Linked DNA regions of Macaca mulatta. The protein of the gene in region 2 interacts with the protein of the main gene of each other region in a biochemical or structural test. Links are inferred from orthologs where the notes say so. Each region holds a gene or a part of one and is shown on either strand. Other genes may lie near its edges.

The links.
Region 1: the proteins of CRK (region 2) and RAPGEF1 form a complex in vitro, tested with the Homo sapiens proteins (4 studies listed by BioGRID, with this or other methods). The link is inferred for Macaca mulatta from reciprocal best matches to the Homo sapiens genes CRK and RAPGEF1.

What each region holds. Positions count from the first base shown.
Region 1 is NC_133420.1:15,873,622-15,882,865, reverse strand, and holds part of RAPGEF1 (rap guanine nucleotide exchange factor 1), read right to left. Parts: intron 8,872-9,244; coding exon 8,783-8,871; intron 7,808-8,782; coding exon 7,655-7,807; intron 7,221-7,654; coding exon 7,097-7,220; intron 6,657-7,096; coding exon 6,473-6,656; intron 4,827-6,472; coding exon 4,326-4,826; intron 3,344-4,325; exon of another isoform or gene 2,366-3,343; intron 2,198-2,365; exon of another isoform or gene 2,115-2,197; intron 1,615-2,114; exon of another isoform or gene 1,448-1,614; intron 118-1,447; coding exon 1-117. UniProt on the Homo sapiens protein: Guanine nucleotide-releasing protein that binds to SH3 domain of CRK and GRB2/ASH. Transduces signals from CRK to activate RAS. Involved in cell branching and adhesion mediated by BCAR1-CRK-RAPGEF1 signaling and activation of RAP1.
Region 2 is NC_133421.1:2,998,430-3,008,406, forward strand, and holds the start of CRK (adapter molecule crk), read right to left. Parts: upstream 5,521-9,977; 5' UTR 5,406-5,520; coding exon 5,165-5,405; intron 1-5,164. UniProt on the Homo sapiens protein: Involved in cell branching and adhesion mediated by BCAR1-CRK-RAPGEF1 signaling and activation of RAP1.

The DNA.
Region 1 (9,244 bases), on a different chromosome or scaffold from region 2:
ATACCTCCATGAGGAGCTTGTTCTTCTGCTGGTAGATGTGCTCGTTCTGCGGCGTCTGGTAGAACATGGAGGGCTGTGGCTCCGAGTAGTCCTCCAGCAGCTGCATGTAGGCCAGCACTGTGAAACGGAGGGACAGAGCTGCAGCAAGGCTGGGGGCTGCCACGTCAGGGAACCCCTCCCCGCATTCTTCCCACAGCAGCTAGGGGGCTTTCCACCGAAAGCACCTCAGGGAGGGACAAACAGGCGGAGCGCAGAGGCCTTTTCGGGCAGTGAAATCACACCCTGTCTGATGCGCTAATGGAGGAGACACGTCCAGACCGGCAGACGCGCAACACCGATGGGGAACCCTAATGCGAACTCAGGACTCAAGCGAGGGACTCAAGGGATGGCAAGTCTCAGCCACCTCCTGAGCAGGCACTTTCCCCTCGGGGCACGTCACAAGTGCCACGAGCACCTGCCAGGTGGAGCTGAGCTTCAGATACCAAGAAAAAGTGGTGGCTCTGCAGTGCTAAATTTTGTATCCTCAAATAAGCACAAAGCCAGAGGCTTTTCTGCAAACCCCAACTAGTCAACAAACCAAGGAAGGCCAGACACTGAGCTGAGGAAGACAGTCACAGAGGTAGGGAGTTTATTTCTTCCCTGAGCCGCTCTGGGGGTCCAGGTATAGAGGAAATGCTCTCTCTCCAGGAGTGTCACTGAAGGAAGGGGTTCAAAGTCACCTTCTTTATTTAAAAGATTATGTAAGAATTTCTTACTAGCTCCAACAAGCACAGAGCAGAACTTGGTTGGAAAAGATGCACAGGAAGAGATGGTTCCCCCCTGAGGTCAGCTGCTGCTACTGAAAGGGCAGCTCGCAGCCCCTTGAGCTTGTCTTTTTTTTTTTTTTTTTTTTTGAGACGAGTCTCGCTCTGTCACCCAGGCTGGAGTGCAGTGGCCGGATCTCAGCTCACTGCAAGCTCCGCCTCCCGGGTTTACGCCATTCTTCTGCCTCAGCCTCCCGAGTAGCTGGGACTACAGGCGCCTGCCACCTCGCCCGGCTAAGTTTTTGTATTTTTAGTAGAGACGGGGTTTCACTGTGTTAGCCAGAATGGTCTCGATCTCCTGACCTCGTGATCCGCCCGCCTCGGCCTCCCAAAGTGCTGGGATTACAGGCTTGAGCCACCGCGCCCGGCCGAGCTTGTCTTACACTTCCTTTTTTTTTTTTTCGAGACTGAGTTTCACTCTTGTCGCCCAGGCTGGAGTGTAATGGTGTGATCTCGGCTCACTGCAACCTCCACCTCGTGGGTTCAAGTGATCCTCCTGCCTCAGTCTCCCGAGTAGCTGGGATTACAGGCATGGACCACGACGTCCAGCTAATTTTTGTATTTTCAGTAGAGATAGGGTTGTGCCATGTTGGTCTGGCTGGTCTCAAACTCCTGACCTCAGGTGATCCACCTGGCTCGGTCTCCCAAAGTGATGGGATTACAGGTGTGAGCCACTGCGCCTAGCCCCACACTTCCTCTTTAATGCTGTGCAACCATCGTCACCAGGCTCCAGAGGAAGGGGCAAGCCTAGGAAGGTGATCCCAAGCACCCACAAACTGCTCCCTAAAAAGACTAAACGTGGCCGGGCACAGTGGCTCATGCCTATAATCCCAGTGCTTTGGGAGGCTGAGGCAGGAGGGTCACTTGAGGCTAGTTCGACACCAGCCTGGGCAACACAGTGAGACTCCCATCTCTAAAAAGAAAAAAGAAAAGATAAAACTTAGCAATGGTGGTATGTGCCTATGGTCCCAGCTATTCAAGAGGCTGAGGTGGGAGGATCCCTTGAACCGAGTTCAAGGCTGCAGTGAACTATGGAAAAAAGAAAAAGACTAAACACAACCACCTCTGCCTGACTTTTCTGTGAAACTGTGATCTCTTCAGGAGGTCTTTCTGAACTCTTGATGATGAAGCCCTTGTAGAGACCTGCTAGCCAAGCATAGGGAATAGCAGTGACATTCCCAGCCTTCTAGAAATGAGGAGGACCCAGTCCATTTCAAAAGCAGCCCAGTGGCAGCCCAGAGGCCAGGCAGCCAGCATTGCTGGGAAGGCTCAGCCGCCAGTGCTCAGGGCCTGGGACTGTGGGGATTTCAGGTGCCGGACAGTGATCACAAGGCTCGTCTGGTGCAAGGGACTCATGGGGTTGCCCCTGGCAAGAGGGGCTGGGGACCCTCATGGTATCAGTGCATCCCAAATGATGAGGATACGTCGTGACACTGGGACTGAGCGTGCGTGAACTCAGGCCAGTGTCAGCCACGCGGCCAGGGTGATGATTCTTTCCTTCTTTCCCTGAAAGCAATTTTGAGGCATTTTCCACAAGGTCACCTGAGGGTCCCCTCGGGGAGTGAAGAGCAGACTGGGGACTAGGACTGAGGCTCAGGGCACCTAAGTTTGGGGCTCTTTCACAGAGTATGGAGAAGACCACCCCCTGCATAGGGGTCAACACTGAAAACTGGATGGGATCTCAAGGAAGGAGGGCTGAATTCCTCCTTGGCTCGGGAGGAAGTGTAACAGGCTTGTACAACTCAGGTCAGGCTCTCAGTCCCAGATCCGTGCCCCACTTGCTTGTTGATCTTGGGCAATACTCAGTTCTTTTAAGCTCCAGTTTCTCTACCTATGAAATTGGAGCTAATAGGGCCTGCCTTGCAGGTGGCTGTCACGATGACCTTCGACAGGGCGTGTGAAGCTTTAGCTCAGGGCACGCCATGGCTGCAGCTCAGGAGTTTTTTAGAGGTTTGCAGGCTCCAGTACTGGAGACACTGATGAATGGGTTAAAGCCTCAAAATGGTAGCCTAAATTACTGGGGATTTTCAGCCACTTGAGACTGTTTGAAAGGAAACACTGGCTACCCCTCCCTTTCCTTCTCCCCTCTACAGACCCTGCATGAGGACCGCCGCCCACACTTGTTCTAGGAGCTGGAAGGGTAAGGCTCTCTGGCGTCTGCTGCAGTTTGTAAGGATGCCATCCTGCCCAGTGTCTGAGCTCAGAGGACCCCTCCCCTAGGGAAGGAAAGGGGGTGAGCTTGAGTGGCATGTAGCCCAAGATAACAGAGGTGAAGGGGGAGGCCAACAGCTCTTTAAACACTTGTCCATGCAGAGGGAGGGGAAGAGAAGGAAATGCTTCTGGCATTGCCATTGCACACCCCTCTGCGGAAGCCCTGGTTTCTGATGAGCGAATATACACGACAGATGGGGATGACATCATTAGTCCCACAGAGCCAGCCCTCCCTCTAGCTGGGGGACCACTGCTGAGGCCATCACACAAGCTGGGCAACACCCACCGAGGAGCTGGGGATACATGACACCATCTCAGCCGCAGCCTTCTGGAGACCACGCAGCCGGCCCTCAGGGCGATCCTTGCTGGACTGAACCAAGCCAGGTCTTCCCTTCTTTGAGAATGGGGCCCAGTTCTAAGCTGGGCTCAGATGCTCTCATTTGGGAATTTGGAGTAGAGATTCCATTTCTAGTTCACAGAAGTTCTCTGTTGGATATGTCAACTGAGGCCAGGGAAGCCTGGGGCTGTGGGGCTAACGTGACCACACACATTGAAACGGTGACAGCTGCGCTGCCAAGAAAATCGAAGCAGAACTATGCTAGTGAAGCGGGGAGAGGGCGGGGACAGAGGGGGCCAGGCAACTCCCAGAAGTGTGGGGCAGTTAGGGGAGCTAGGAGAAAACAGAATTTCCAGGAGAACTCTCCTTATTACTTTTATGGCAGATTTACAGTTGGAAAATATTCAAAACTTCAGCTCCACCCCTGGGCTCCAGTAACATCATATATTAAAATGTTTGGTCCAAGAAGTGTCCTCAATTACTCCTGCTGGGCAACCTCAGCTCCCACGTCATTCTGGGAGCATGAACAGAGACAGCGTGCTCTAGACAGGATCCTTAGACAATCACTCTGTGGACACTAGGTAAGTTCTGCTGAAATTCACATATCCACCTCGCTCTATGCAGATGTTGCTGCAATGCTGTCCTGCATGCCAGGACACTTGTTTCCCTCTGTCACTGTGATCAGGCCAGAAGGTCAACTGCTGCCATCTAAAGAGGAGAAGCCCTCGGGCTACGTGGAGAATCGGCCTGAGACTGTACGGAAACTATAAAGGAGAGATCAGCTGATCAGGCTTTAAAAACGATCACCTGTAATGAGAAAACCTGGCTCCCAGAAGTGTCGACATACCTGGCTGGCCTATCTTTTATGAAATAATGAGGCCACTGATTTGCTTCTGGTCTAATGCTGAAAGAAAACATACTGCCATTTCAGGTTATAAAACGCACTTCCTGACAACAGTGCAACAAAAGCTTACTGTGTTTGTTTTTCTTCTCTGGTAGAGGAGGTGGTTTTTCTGGGTCACCCGTTGATTCAGGAGCAGTAAAATCACCCACAAATTCGACAGGGGCTGAGGAACCTCCATGCTGAAAGGGGAGAATAGCAGCAAAGGGCGCATAGGGGACGGACTGGATTGGGGCCGTGCTCTGCAGGTCCTCCCCAGAGATGTTGTCGTACTGCGAGGGATGCCGCTCGTAGGACACCCTGCAGCCAGAGCTGTCCGCCGTCTGGGAGGCTGCACTCCTGCGCTTCTTCTCGGGGAGAGCAGGCGGCGTATCTGTCTGCTGCCCTGGGGCCAGAGGTCCGTCTGGCTGGGGATGGCTGCCAAGAGGCAGCTGGAAAGGATGGCCAACAAATGGAGACCCAGACTCCCCCAAAGACTCTGGCAACGGGCTAAGGTTCCAGGCCGTCTGCTGAGGTATCTGGTCTGCGTTAGAGAGGTCTTGCTGGAGGAATTCATAGTCGGGATCATAGTGGTCTGCAGTTACAACAGGGAAAAAAAAGACCCGTTAGCCAGAGGCCCTGCAGGAGCAGCCAGCCCCCGCTGCCCACCTCTTGCCGGCTTGCTCATGGGTGTGTGACAAAGACATGTCTCCAGGGTTTCGTTTATATTTACATGTTATATTCTTCATTCTTCTCCCTGATTATAAAAGCAAACCAGATGGGAATATGGCTGTTTGCTATACTTTTCTTATTTTTTACATTTCTTACTTAAAAAAAAAGAAAAATACACAACCATCACAGAAACCGTGGCAAATTACATCAAGAAAATAAAAATCACCCACAACCCCGTAATCTAACTGTATTTTCTATTTACATTTTGATGTATTTCCTTAAATGCCTCTTTTGCTTCTAGGATTCCTTTTTGAAAAAGCCCAACTGAGGGCTGCGTGGTGGCTCACGCCTGTAATTCCAGCACTTTGCAAGGCTGAGGCAGGCCGATCACTTCAGGTCAGGAGTTCAAGGCCAGCCTGGCCAATGTAGTGAAACCCTGTCTCTACTAAAAATACAAAAATTGGCTGGGCGCAGTGGCTCACGAATGTAATCCCAGCACTTATTGAGGCTGAAGTGGGCTGCTCACTTGAGGCCAGGAGTTCAAGACCAGCCTGGCCAATGTGATGAAACCATTTTCTCTACTAAAAATACAAAAATTGGCTGGGCACGGTGGCCCACGCCTGTAATCCCAGCACTTTGGGAGGCTGAGGCGGGCAGATCACCTGAGGTCAGGAGTTCAAGACCAGCCTGGCCAACATGGTGAAACCCCGCCTCTACTAAAAATACAAAAAAATTACCCGGACGTGGTGGTGCACACCTGTAGTCCCAGCCACTCGGGAGGCTGAGGCAGGAGAATCACTTGAACCTGGGAGGCGGAGGTTGCAGTAAGCCCAGATAATGTCACTGTACTCCAGCCTGGGGGACAGAGTGAGGCTCTGTCTCAAAAAAAAAATTGAGAATACTATGAAAATATGTAAATGGCCCTGTACTTTTTCCAGTTATCAATATATTATGAGCAATTTTTAATAGCTACAGATTATTCCAGCAAATGAATGTACCATCATTCACCTGATTTCCTACCAATGAAATCTTGCTATTAATCGCTGATTATGCTCCTAGGATACATTCTCAGAAGTGAAAATATCTAGTTCACAGGATACAAACAGCTTCCTGCTCTCTAAGCCCCCTGCCCGGCAGACGGGAGGGGCCCGCACAGCACACATTCAGCGCTGACTAAGGAGAAGGCTGGCTCGTGCGGCTCTTTCCCCTTCAGCCTCTGTCAAGTGTTGTCAGGACCCCCACCCCTTCATTTAAAGCTCTCAACACAAATGGCTCTTAATTTTGGTAAAGAGAGTCAAATTACCCACTGACAGATGAACTAACAACAGTTACCGCTTGAATATCTAGGCTGTGGTTTTACGTTGTGATTTCATTTACATGCTCAACTTCCTAGGGAGGCAGATACTGTTATCCTTATTTTGCAGATGAGGAAGCTGAGGCTCAGATTTTAAACAAGTGGGCCAAAGTCACGTAGTCAATGATCGCATGACCTGGGACTCCCACCCAGGACTGTATGGCCCCAGAGAAGCCACCAAGACAGGATGGAACAGGAGGATGCTGGCGGCTCACCTAGTGTTTCACAGCTTGTGTTCCGGGAGCACTGCCCACTGTCCCTGTCCAGAGAGGACAGCTGCTCGTCTGACTTGCTGAGCTTGCCTATGCTGCTGCAGGGGGAGAGGCGGGGCGACTCTCCACCATATGAGTGGCTGCCTCCTGACAGTCGTCTCTGTGCATAACAGTCAACGTCAAAATCCTTAAACGGAAAAAGAAAAACAAAGCCAAGTCACTTCTGAGAAACGGTGGCAGAGACCAGGGGTGAGGCAACCGGTGCATTTACTTAGAGAAGGAAATACTGCCAGGCAAACTCAAAAACCACCTCTGACGTCAGCAATTGAAGGACACATACAGCAGAGAAGCAGCCATCTGGAGTTGGTGGGGGGTGTGACCAGGGAGGGCTCTGGGGCTGGGCTCACCTATCCCCAGGAGACGCCCTTTGGCTCTGGCCTCCCTGCCCTGACCCTTATCCCCATATGGGAATTTGGATCATGTCCTGGAATGAGAGGCATGGGTACAAGGTCTCACACCCCTCGATGTGACAAAACACCAGTGACTGAAGACCATGGGTTTCAGCTTCAGGAGCAAATCCCGACCCCCCTCCCTGCCTTCCCAAGAAGCGAACACGAGCTGCATTACCTGCCTATTGATTCCAACAGGCAAACTGGAGCCACTGGTGGCTCGGCTCATGGGGGCCACCACAGCCACTCGGGTAGGGGACGGTGCCGACTGTCTTTTCTTGGGTGGCAATGCTGGTGGAGGACTGAAACAGACCGAAACGTCCAGGCAGACCAAACCACACTCACCAAAGCTCTTCAGCATGATATTGGGGTACAGGATGTGGGGCTCTTTCATTACTAGACTCTCCACACCCAGTGTTCACACTTCAACTGCTGCCTACTCCCCTCCGCCAAAATAAAACCTGTAAATACCAAATGAACGAAAAAGAACAACCCTTTCTTTTTCTTTCATAATAAATCATACCAGGTCTCCCTGGGCTGAGGGCACAAGGAGGCCTTCAGGAGAGCTCAGGGTGGCCAGGGAGGGCTGGGCGGGGGGGGGGGGGACAGCTCCAGAGTCAGCCTCCCAAGGGGGGCCAAGCCCCCAGCACTGAGGGGAAAGGGCCCGAGCCCTGCCTTCCTCCCTTTCTTGCTCATTCTGCCATGGGAGGCACTGGACAAACAGGAAGGTAGTTACCTATTATCAACCACCCGAATGCCAGGCAGAGGGGGCTTGGGGGGCGCGACCTCTTCATCTGTGGCATCTGGGAGGAGCTCAGTTGACTGTGACATCCCGGTCGTCTTGTTTAGGATTTCTACCTCGCGGTCTGTCAGGGGGAGCTCTGCTGGGCTGCAGAATTGGGAAGAACTTGGGGTTACAGAAGGTCAAAGACGGGACGAGCACATACAGGCCCTGAGAGGGTGAGGATGTGACTGGGTAGAACATGGTGGGTGAGGTGGGGCTGAGGAGCAGGCTCCCTGGATACAGAGCTCTGGGGTTCTGGTTTGGTTGCTAAGGAGCTACTGGAGCTTGGCTGTGCCCCCAACTTTGCACCTCAGTTTCCTTATCTGAAGATGATCTAAGGGCTCTCTAAAATGCTCCAGGCCGGGCACAGTGGCTCACACCTATAATCCCAGCACTTCGGGAGGCCAAGGTGGCGGATCACTTGAGGTTAGGAGTTTGAGACCAGCTTGGCCAACATGGTGAAACCCTGTCTCTACTAAAAATACAAAAATTAGCCGGGCGTGGTGGCGTGCACCTGTAGTCCCAGCTACTTGAAAGGCTGAGGCAAGAGAATCGCTCTAACCTGAGAGGAGGTTGCAATGAGCCCAGATCGTACCACCGCATCCCAGCCTAAGCAACAGAGACTCTGTCTCAAAAACAAAACAAAAGCTCCAAATTTATGTTTTATATTTTTACCAGGAGCTTAGAGTAGAGATGAATATAAACCCTTACAACCATCGATGTCATCCTCAGTTTACTCTGGATCAAGCAAGAGTGCACTCAAGTCAAAGTCCCCAAACCCAAGCCCTTAAAAGTTCTTTGTAATTATGAAACGAAGTTGCCCAGGAAAAGCACTGGTATGTGTCACTGGATGCGCTCACACATGATCCTTGGAAACAGTCACACTGAAGAGTAAACTTGAGATGGGCAATACTTCAAGCCTGTGTGAAATATACACACAATGCTAACCACTGAAAAAGCAATATGGGCCTCCAGCAGCCCACCTTCATGCTGCCCACCCCCCAGGCCCTATCCTTGTCAAATGTAGAGACTTTGCCACTGAGTGTGACCCCTGCGACAGGAGGGTTAGTCAGCACCTACCCATCAGGCTTGCCAGCAGGGGAACTGGGCTTCACGGGGCTCGTCGGAGATGGACGTCCCTGCTTCTCGACGGTGAGCCTGACCAGCTCCTACCCCACAAGAAAAAGGCAATGAGCAAAGCTCCCGTCACCACTGAGTTTCCACAAGAAGGCAGGCAGGTGCTGTCTGTCCTCTGCTGCTGGGTCTCATTTCTGTGCCTACAGATTCTCCATGCGCCATAAACGCAAGAATCACTCGCCTTAGGTAATCTGCATGACTTCCCAAATGTCCCCGGTCCTCCAAAAATACCTTCATGGCATGTCAAGAAGTTTCAAATGCGTAAAGGCACTTCCTCTTGGAAGGGGAAATGGCAAACCCCAGAGTCTCAAAATGATTGTTTATCACACAAATTACAATACCCGGCAGAACAGATTCCCAGTCAGTTTGTTGGGGAATTACTCTGTTTCTAGTTCTCTAAAGTCA
Region 2 (9,977 bases):
AAACCCCGTCTCTACTAAAAATACAAAAAAATTAGCTGGGCGTGGTGGCGTGCGCCTGTAGTCCCAGCTACTCGGGAGGCTGAGGCAGGAGAATGGCTTGAGCAGGGAGGGGGAGGTTGCAGTGAGCTGAGATCGCCCCACTGCACCCCAGCCTGGGTGACAGAGCAAGACTCCATCGCAAAAATAAAAAATAAAAAATAAAGTAGTAACAATTTTAAAAAGCTTCTTCATCACTGACTTAAGATAGCAGATACGTATTGTCTGAACGATAAAGCCAGTGGCATGATCTCGGCGCACTGCAACCTCTGCCTCCGAGGTTCAAGCGATTCTTGTGCCTCAATCTCTCCAGTCGCTGGGATTACAGGCGCATGCCACCACGCCCTGCTAATTTTTGTATTTTTTAGGAGAGATGGGGTTTCACCATGTTGGCCAGGCTGGTCTCTAACTCCTGGCCTCAAATGATCCGCCTGCCTTGGCCTCCCAAAATGCTGGGATTGCAGGCGTGAGCCACCGCGCCCGGCCTCTTCTTGCCATTCTTTAATTCTGATCTTTAAAAAAACCTGGGTTGGATGCAGCTGTACATGCTGGAAGTCCCAGCTACTCAGAGCCTGAGTCAGGAGGACTGCCTGCCCCAAAGTTAAGGGCTGTAGTGTACTATGACTGTGCCTGTCAACAGCCACTGCACTCCAGTTTGAGCAACACGGTGGGGAAAAAAAAAAAACACAAGGGTGAGACAGGCAGATTACCTGAGGTCAGGAGTTCGAGACCAGCCTGGCCAACACGGTGAAACCTGTGTCTACCAAAAATACAAAAAAAAAAAAAAATTAGCCGGGCATGGTGGCGCATGCCTGTAATCCTAGCTACTCAGGAGGCTGAGGAAGGAGAATCACTTGACCCAGGGAAGGGGAGGTTTCAGTGAGCCGAGACTGCACCACTGCACTCTAGTAGCCTGGGGGACAACAAGAGCGAAACTCCATCCAAAAAAACAAAACAAAGTACTGAGGATATGGAGGATACAGACCTCCACATGCATTGCTGAGATCCCAAAAGGACGCTGGTTCTGACAAGTGTAGCATAAAAGGGTCAGTTCTCAGGTCAGAATGCCTAGGTTCAACTTTGGAAAGTCATTTACTAGCTGTGTGACCTTAAGCAAGTTACTGAATCTGAGTGTTTCCTCCTGTATAAAATGGGAATATTTTAATAAAAGGAGATCATATTACTTATCTCACCAGACTGTCCTAGACAGCAGGTGAAATAAGGCACATAAAGTACTCAAGCAAAGTACCTGGCACAGAATAACCAGTCAATAAACATTAGTTATTAATATTGTATACGCCTCTTTAAAATTCAAGAAATTTCTCTGTGTGACTTCAAAAGGACTTGGTGAGGGGGAGAACAAAGATTCAGTACTTAGCACTTGAGATTTGAGGTACAAAGCACTTAGCACTTGAGGTACAAAGTAATTCTGAGGTTATACAGACAGGCCGGGTGCGGTGGCTCAGGCCCAGCACTTTGGGAGGCCGAGGCGGGTGGATCATCAGAGTTCAGGAGTTCCAGACCAGCCTGGCCAACATGGCGAAACCCCATCTCTACTAAAAAATACAAAAATTAGCTGACCATGGTGGTGGGCCTCTGTAATTCCAGCTACTCAGGAGGGTGAGGCAGGAGAATTGTTTGAACCTGGGAGACGGAGGTTGCAGTGAGTCAGTATCACGCCATTGCACTCTGGTGTGGGAGACAAGAGTTAAAAACTCTGCCTCGGCCGGGCGCGGTGGCTCAAGCCTGTAATCCCAGCACTTTGGGAGGCCGAGACGGGCGGATCACGAGGTCAGGAGATCGAGACCATCCTGGCTAACACAGTGAAACCCCGTCTCTGCTAAAAAATACAAAAAACTAGCCGGGCGCGGTGGCGGGCGCCTGTAGTCCCAGCTACTCGGGAGGATGAGGCAGGAGAACGGCATGAACCCGGGAGGCGGAGCTTGCAGTGAGCTGAGATCCGGCCACTGCACTCCAGCCTGGGCGACAGAGCGAGACTCCGTCTCAAAAAAAAAAACAAACAAAAAAAAACTCTGCCTCAAAAAACAAACAAACAAACAAGACAGCAACTGAGCCAGGCACAGTGGCTCACACCTGCAATTCCAGCACTTTGGGAGTCTGAAGCGGGAGGATCTCTTGAGACCAAGAATTTGAGACTAGCCTGGACAACACAGTGAAACCCCTCATCTCCACAAAAAAATGTTAAACAGTTAACCAGGCATGGTGGATATGCCTGTAGTCCCAGCTGCTCAGGAGGCTAAAGTGGGAGGATGGCTTGAGCCCGGGAGGTCAAGGCTGCAGTGAGCTGTGTTCATGCCACTGCACTCCAGCTTGAGAGACAAAGGCCCTGTCTCAGAAGAGAGAAAAAACAGCAACTGAATCGTAGAAAATGGGGTACAATATGGCAGAATTATCACAATACTCGTGAATATTCCACACCCCATCCACAAACTTTGGCAATCTTCACCTTCTTTCCTGGGCCAAGGAACTGAGTTCTTATCTGTTTTGAAAAGGTGGTGCTCCATTATCCAAGTAAGGCTTGAGATATAAAAATCGTTATGCTAAGATGTGAAAAAATATCAAGCTAACAAACCTGCCGGCTGCCATTTTCAACTCTGGCAACCAACAAACACAAACAAAAGGCTGAAAAGTGAGTTTCAATAACAGTTTGCCATCATGTTACTACATATAATGCAAAACCCCAGATACCATGCAGGTGGCATCAAAGTAGCATATATCTGGTTCAGGGCCAACACAGGTACATCAATATTCCCATCTCATAACACCATTAAACTGGCCAGAATGAGAAAGATCTACAATAATTTGTGAACTTATAGACCCCATACTCATTTTCTAAAAATAGTTATGTGTTGGGCTGGGTGTGGTGGCTCACACCTGTAATCCCAGCACTTTGGGAGGCTGAGGCGGGCGGATCACCTGAGGTCAGGAGTTCGAGACCAGCCTGGTCAACATGGTGAAACCCCATCTCTACTAAAAATACAAAAACTAGCCAGGCATGGTGGCGTGTGCCTGTAATCCCAGCTACTAGGGAGGCTGAAGCAAGAGAATCCTTTGAACCCACGACGTAGAGATTGCAGTGAGCTGAGATCACACCACTGAACTCCAGCCTGGGCAACAAAAGTGAAACTCCGCCTCAAACAAACAAAGCTGGGTGCAGTGGCTCACACCCGTAATCCCAGCACTTTGAGGGGGCAAAGGCGAGTGGATTACCTGAGGTCAGGAGTTCAAGACCCACCTGGTCAACCTGGTAAAACCCCATCTCTACTAAAAATACAAAAATTAGCTGGGCGTGGTGACAGGCACTGGTAATCCCAGCTACTTAGGAGGCTGAGGCAGGAGAATCACTTGAACCCAAAAGGCGGAGGTTGCAGTGAGCCAAGATGGCGCCACTGCACTCCAGCTTGGGTGACAGAGAGAGACTCTGTCTCAAAATAAATAAATAATAAATAAATAAATAAAATAAGAAAAAAATTGGTTATGTGTTGGCCAGGCACGGTGGCTCATACCTGTAATCCCAGCATTTTGGGAGGGTGGATCACCTGAGGTCAGGAGTTTGAGAGCAGCCTGGCCAATCTGGTGAAATCTTGTCTCCACTAGAAATACAACATTAGCTGGTTGTGGTGGTGGGTGCCTGTAATCCCAGCTACTCGGGAGACTGAGGCAGGAGAATCTTGAACCCGGGAGCCCCGGGGAGGTGGAGGTGGCCATGAGCCGAGATCGCGCTACTGAGCTCCAGCATGGGCGACAGAGCGAGACTCCGTCTCAGGAAAAAGTAAAATAAAAATTGGTATGTGTTAATAACAAAGAGACTGGCTATTCAATTCTCCATTTCTGGCCGGAACAAGTAAATCTAAATTAGAACGATCCTACAAGAGAAAGTCTACAGAGGATGGCTCAGGAGCTTCCTGATTCATAGGAGACTAGTCTGAACCCAGTCTCAGCGGCCAAGAAGAAACAGCTTCGACTTGGCAACAGTGTGAAGGCACGAGGACTCCTGATGCTGTTAAACAGGTACACATACAATGAGAACCCCAGAATTACTTCGTACCTCACAAATCTCCAGTACTAAGGGCATCTATCTATTCCCTTGAAACACTCCCAAATCAACTCCAACGGCATCGGAAAGACAGTCAATCTCAGGGATCCCTGGCAAGAAAAACCCAGCGCAGGTAATTTATGTTCTTGGCGTAGAGTCTGTTCCCACCATCCAGGAAGACTCAGCCCGCAGCCCCATCTTACTGAGCAAGGTCACGCCCTGAAGTACACACTGACAATGTGTAAGTCCAAGGAAAATGAAGCTCCAGTCACATCCAGGGAAGGGTCTGTTTCCACTGCCTCATTTCTGGTTTATTCTCTGGAATAAAATGTCTTTCCTCCACTAAACACTTTGAAAACCAGAACCCTCTACCGGCGGACAGTCTTCTGGACGCTTAGATCTCCTGCACGCAGCCAGGCATCGCCTTAAACTGGGTTGGGCTGGTCACTGAAGGCTTTCTTCTATCACTTAATTCACCACCTTCGTCCTCCACGGGGGAAGAGGACGGTACAAGGATTTTGGAAAAATGCCCAAGAAAGGAAAAAACTAACCGGTTTCCTGAGGGTGTCTCCATCCCTCCCGGCCAGTTTGTGGTGACTTCCTACCAAAGGCCACCAGGGGAGCACGGCCAAACCCGGCTCTCCAACACGGCAGGAAACGCTTCCAGCCCAAAAGCCACTTGTAGGATTATCGGATTCATTCTGGGCGCCGCTGCCAAGTGATGCCCCCGCAGTGCCAACATCTCCCTCAGCTCTTTGTCCCCACGTTGCCTTGCCCTGCCCTACCCTTGCGCCTGGCCCGGGAGCCAGCCCCACCCTGGGGCCGAAGCAGTTCCCCTTCCCCGGGGCTGCCCTTCCCAGGCACACCCCGGGGCCTCGGTCCGCGGCTCCTCCTCCCCCACACTCCTGTTCCCCGGGTGGGAATGAGCCCCAGCAGCCGGCGGGCCCCTGCCACGGTCACCCAGCCCTCTGCCCACGACCCCGAGGGTCCGCTCTCGAGGAGCAGCCAGCCGGGCTGGGAGCTCCGCGGCCCTCACCCCGCCCAGGGCCCCCCGTCCCGTCAGTCCCTCACCCGGCGGAGGTTGGGCGGGCGACGGCGGCACTGGCGGGCGCGGGCCGCTGCTGTTGATGATGTAGTGGGAGACGCGCGAGTTCTCTGAGACGCTGAGCACATAGTCCCCGGGGCTGGTGCTCGAGTCCCGCACCAGGAACACCCCGTGCCGCTGGCCCTGCAGCAGCGCCACCGCCTCCTGCCGACTCAACCGCCCCCAGTACCAGCTACTCCGCTCCTCCGAGTCGAAGTTGCCCGCCATGGCTGCCTCCGCGCCTAAACGCTGGGGTGCCGCCGCCGCGCGCGCCGCTCCGGCCCCCGGCGCCCGCCGCCCAGCGGACCGGCTCCGGTTTCAGCTTCACAGCAGCGCCCGAAATGGCGGCGGCAGCCGCGGGCCTTCCCCACCGGAAATGACGCGCTCCCTGCCCGAGGGAGGCTGCCGGGAAGGGGCCCGCGGCCCGCCATTGGGAGAAGGGCAAGGCGCCCTCGCGCGCGCACTGCGCATGCGGCCTCATGGGCGGTGCCGCCCTGCCCGGCCCGGGGATGAGGGGGATGGGAGGCGGGGTCTAGGGCCCGGGGGCGGGGCCTCGCAGCCTCCCGCAGAGACGTGCGCCTGCGCCGCCGACAGCGCGGTGCTGCTTCAGGCTCGCGTTCCCGGACGGCCCGGGACTTCTAGGCGGCGGCTCCCAGACAGGATTGCAGGAGAAAAGACGCGTGTGGCCCTGGGGCCTCAGTTCTCGGCCAGGCTTCCTGGGATATCAGTCTGTTTCTCTTTTCTTTTTCTTTTTTTGTTTTTTCAGACGGTGTGTCTGTCGCCCAGGCTGGAGTGCAGTGCCGCGATCTCGGCTCACCGCAACCTCCGCCTCCCGCGTTCAAGCGATTCTCCTGCCTCCGCCTCCCAAGTAGCTGGGATTACAGGCGAGCGCCACCACGCCTGGCTAATTTTTGTATTTTTAGTAGAGACGGGGGTTTCACCATGTTGGCCAGGCTGGTCTCGAACTCCTGACCTCGGGTGATCCACCCGCCTTGGTCTCCCAAAGTGCTGGGATTACAGGCGAGAAACATCGCTCCCGGCCATGTCGGTCTGTTTCTTCTCGTTCCTCTAGCTTCTCCACAGGCCGGCTGACGTTCTCATTTTCATTGATTCATTCAGGACATTGTTATTGACACTCCACCTGCACTGCGGGTGCAAAGGTGATGGAGGCTGGGCCCTGCACTCCTCAAACTCACACACCAGTGAGAGGAACCAGGAAACTGCATGACAAAAGGATGACAAATGCTGACAAGCGCTATCATGGGAAACGGACATGAACACAGAGCAGAGCCCCCCTCCATCCAGTCTGCGGAGTAATCCAAGAGGGCTTCCCAGAGGAGGTAGCATGTGTTGACTGCTGAATGACAAAAGGGGAAGGACATTCAAAGCAAAGGGAGCAGAGTGTGCCAAGCCACGTGAAGTACAGAGTTCTCCTCTCTTTTGAGGCTTTCGGGTCACCTTCCCAGATACTTCTAAACACTAAATTGTAGCCAGGGGCATCTCCTACTTTCACTGCCGTCATGGTCACTCTGGACTGTGTTCCTATGAGTGGCTTGCTCGCTGGTGCCCTTTCGTCTGGTTGCCTCTAATTGCACTGCAAACAGCTCCCACTGAGTTTTCTAAAATACAGATCTGGCCGGGCACGGTGGCTCACGCCTGTAATCCCAACACTTTGGGAGGCTGAGGCAGGCGGATCACCTGAGGTCAGGAGTTCTAGACCAGGCTGACCAATATGGTGAAACCGCGTCTCAACTAATACAAAAATTAGCTGGGCGTGATAGTGGCTGCCTGTAATCCCAGCTACTCAGGAAGATGAGGCAGGAGAATCGCTCGAACCCGGGAGACAGAGGTTGCAGTGAGCTGAGATCCCACCATTACACTCCAGCCTGGGCGACAGAGGGAGATCCTGTCTCAAAAAAGTATATATGTATACAAATCTGAATGTGTTGCTACCTTGTGTAAAACGTTTAACAGTCTTCAGGTGTTCAAACTCCCAGGTTAGCTCAGAGCATAAAATTGAGCCATAGTCTCTCTTTTTTTTTCAGATGGATTCTTGCTCTGACGCCCAGGCTGGAGTGCAGTGGTGCGATCACAGCTCACTGCAACCGCCACCTCCCGGGTTCAAGTGATTCTCCCTGCCTTAGCCTCCCAAGTAGCTGGGACTACAGGCGCCTGCCACCACGCCCAGCTAATAATGTTCGTATTTTTGGTCGAGACGAGGTTTCACCGTGTTAGCCAGGATGGTCTCCATCTCCCGACCTCGTGATCCGCCCACCTCGGCCTCCCAGAGTGCTGGGATTACAGGCAAGAGCCACTGTGCCTGGCCTGGAATGCTCTTCTACCCACTTTGGAGTCTCAAATTCAAATGTCTTCCCTTTCTTTTTGTTTTTGTTTTTTGAGATGGAGTCTCGCTCTGTCACCCAGGCTGGAGTGCAGTGGTGCCATCTTGGCTCACTGCAAGCTCCACCTCCTGGGTTCACGCCATTCTCCTGCCTCAGCCTCCCCAATAGCTGGGACTACAGGCGCCCGCCACCATGCCCGGCTAATATTTTTTGTATTTTTTTTTTTTTAGTAGAGATGGGGTTTCACCGTGTTGGCTAGGATGGTCTCCATCTGCTGACATCGTGATCCGCCCTCCTTGGCCTCCCAAATTGCTGGGATTACAGGCGTGAGCCACTGCGCCCGGCCCGAATGTCTCCCCTTTCTTAACCACCCTATCACTCCCTCTCCATCAACAGCAATACGTCCAAATTATTCCCATGACAGCTCTTACCCATTTTACTGTAATTTTTCTTTTTTTTTTTTTTTTTTTTTTTGAGACGGAGTCTCGCTCTGTCACCCAGGCTGGAGTGCAGCGGCGCGATCTCGGCTCACTGCAAGCTCCGCCTCCCGGGTTCACGCCATTCTCCTGCCTCAGCCTCCCGAGTAGCTGGGACTACAGGCGCCCACAACCGCGCCCGGCTAATTTTTTTTTTTGTATTTTTAGTAGAGACGGGGTTTCACCGTGGTCTCGATCTCCTGACCTTGTGATCCGCCCGCCTCGGCCTCCCAAAGTGCTGGGATTACAGGCGTGAGCCACCGCGCCCGGCCTGTAATTTTTCATTTGTAGTTCTGTGTATGTCCTTAAAGTCCAAGCAGCTAGTCTACGAGGTACTCCATAAGCGTTTCAGGACCACTAACATTTATTCAGAGATGACCGTCTGCCAGGCACTGTGCTGACTGCCTTCATACGCATCATCTCATTTAATCCTCTCAACCACCTTCTTTGACAAGTATCCCCATCATACAGAAGAGAAAACTGAAGCTCAGAGAGTTTAAGTAACGTGTACAGAGATACACGTTGGCACAGTGAGGAGCTAGGGTTCAAATCCTGGAAGGAGAGACAGCATGGTCACTCTGCTGTACCCTCAAATTTCTGAGATAGGAAGTGGGAGGAAGGGGTGGCAGGAATCTACATTTTAAAAAAGCAGGCCGGGCGCGGTGGCTCAAGCCTGTAATCCCAGCACTTTGGGAGGCCGAGACGGGCGGATCACGAGGTCAGGAGATCGAGACCATCCTGGCTAATACGGTGAAACCCCGTCTCTACTAAAAAATACAAAAAACGAGCCAGGCGAGGTGTCGGGCGCCTGTAGTCCCAGCTACTCAGGAGGCTGAGGCAGGAGAATGGCGTGAACCCGGGAGGCGGAGCTTGCAGTGAGCCGAGATCCGGCCACTGCACTCCAGCCTGGGCGACAGAGCGAGGCTCCATCTCAAAAAAAAAAAGCAGTCAGGCAGGGCGCAGTGGCTCACGCCTGTAATCCCAGCAATTTGGGAGGCCGAGGCGGGCGGATCACAAGGTCAGGAGATCGAGACCATCCTGGCCAACACGGTGAAACCCCGTCTCTACTAAAAATACAAAAAATGAGCCGGGCGTGGTGGCGGTGCCTGTAGTCCCAGCTACTCCTGAGGCTGAGGCAGGAGAATAGCGTGAACCCAGGAGGCAGAGCTTGCAGTGATCCCAGATTGCGCCACTGCACTCCAGCCTGGGTGACAGAGTGAGACTCTGTCTCAAAAAAAAAAAAAAAAAAAAAGCAGCTGTGGATTCTGGTCTAATGGATAACACAGCCCTTCTGGACTCACCTACACACCCTTAGGCCTGCTCTGGGGAAGTGGGGGTGGGGGCCTGGGAGGGACAAGGGCACTTTTCCTGCTGTAGGTGACTCATCGTGACCCTGGCTTAGTCACAGCCTGGCACTGTGAACCAGCAGAAGCAGCCATGCCAGTGTGAATTCTGGCCGGTCTGTGAGCTCTGGACCTGACCCAGAGACCGCCTGTTCCAAAGCAGTCCCTCTAAGATCCCTCCCTAGGGCACATGGAAATTACAAGAAAAAGATTTTTTTTTGGTTTTTCGGGACAGAGTTTCGCTCCTGTTGCCCAGGCTGGAGTGCAATGGCACGATCTCAGCTCACCGCAACCTCCGCCTCCTGAGTTCAAGAGATTCTCCTGCCTCAGCCTCCCGAGTAGCTGGAATTACAGGCATGCACCACCATGCCCGTATAATTTTTTGTATTTTTAGTAGAGACGGGGTTTCTTCATGTTGGTCAGGCTGATCTCGAACTCCCGACCTCAGATGATTCGCCTGCCTCAGCCTCCCAAAGTGCTGGGATTACAGGCATGAGCCACTGTGCCCAACCGAAAAAGAAAAAGAATTTTTTTTTAAGGAGAATAGGCCAGTACTTTGGGAAGCAAAGGTGGGTGAATCACTTGAAGTCAGGAGTTTGAGACCAGTCTGGCCAACTGGGTAAACACCATTTCTATCAA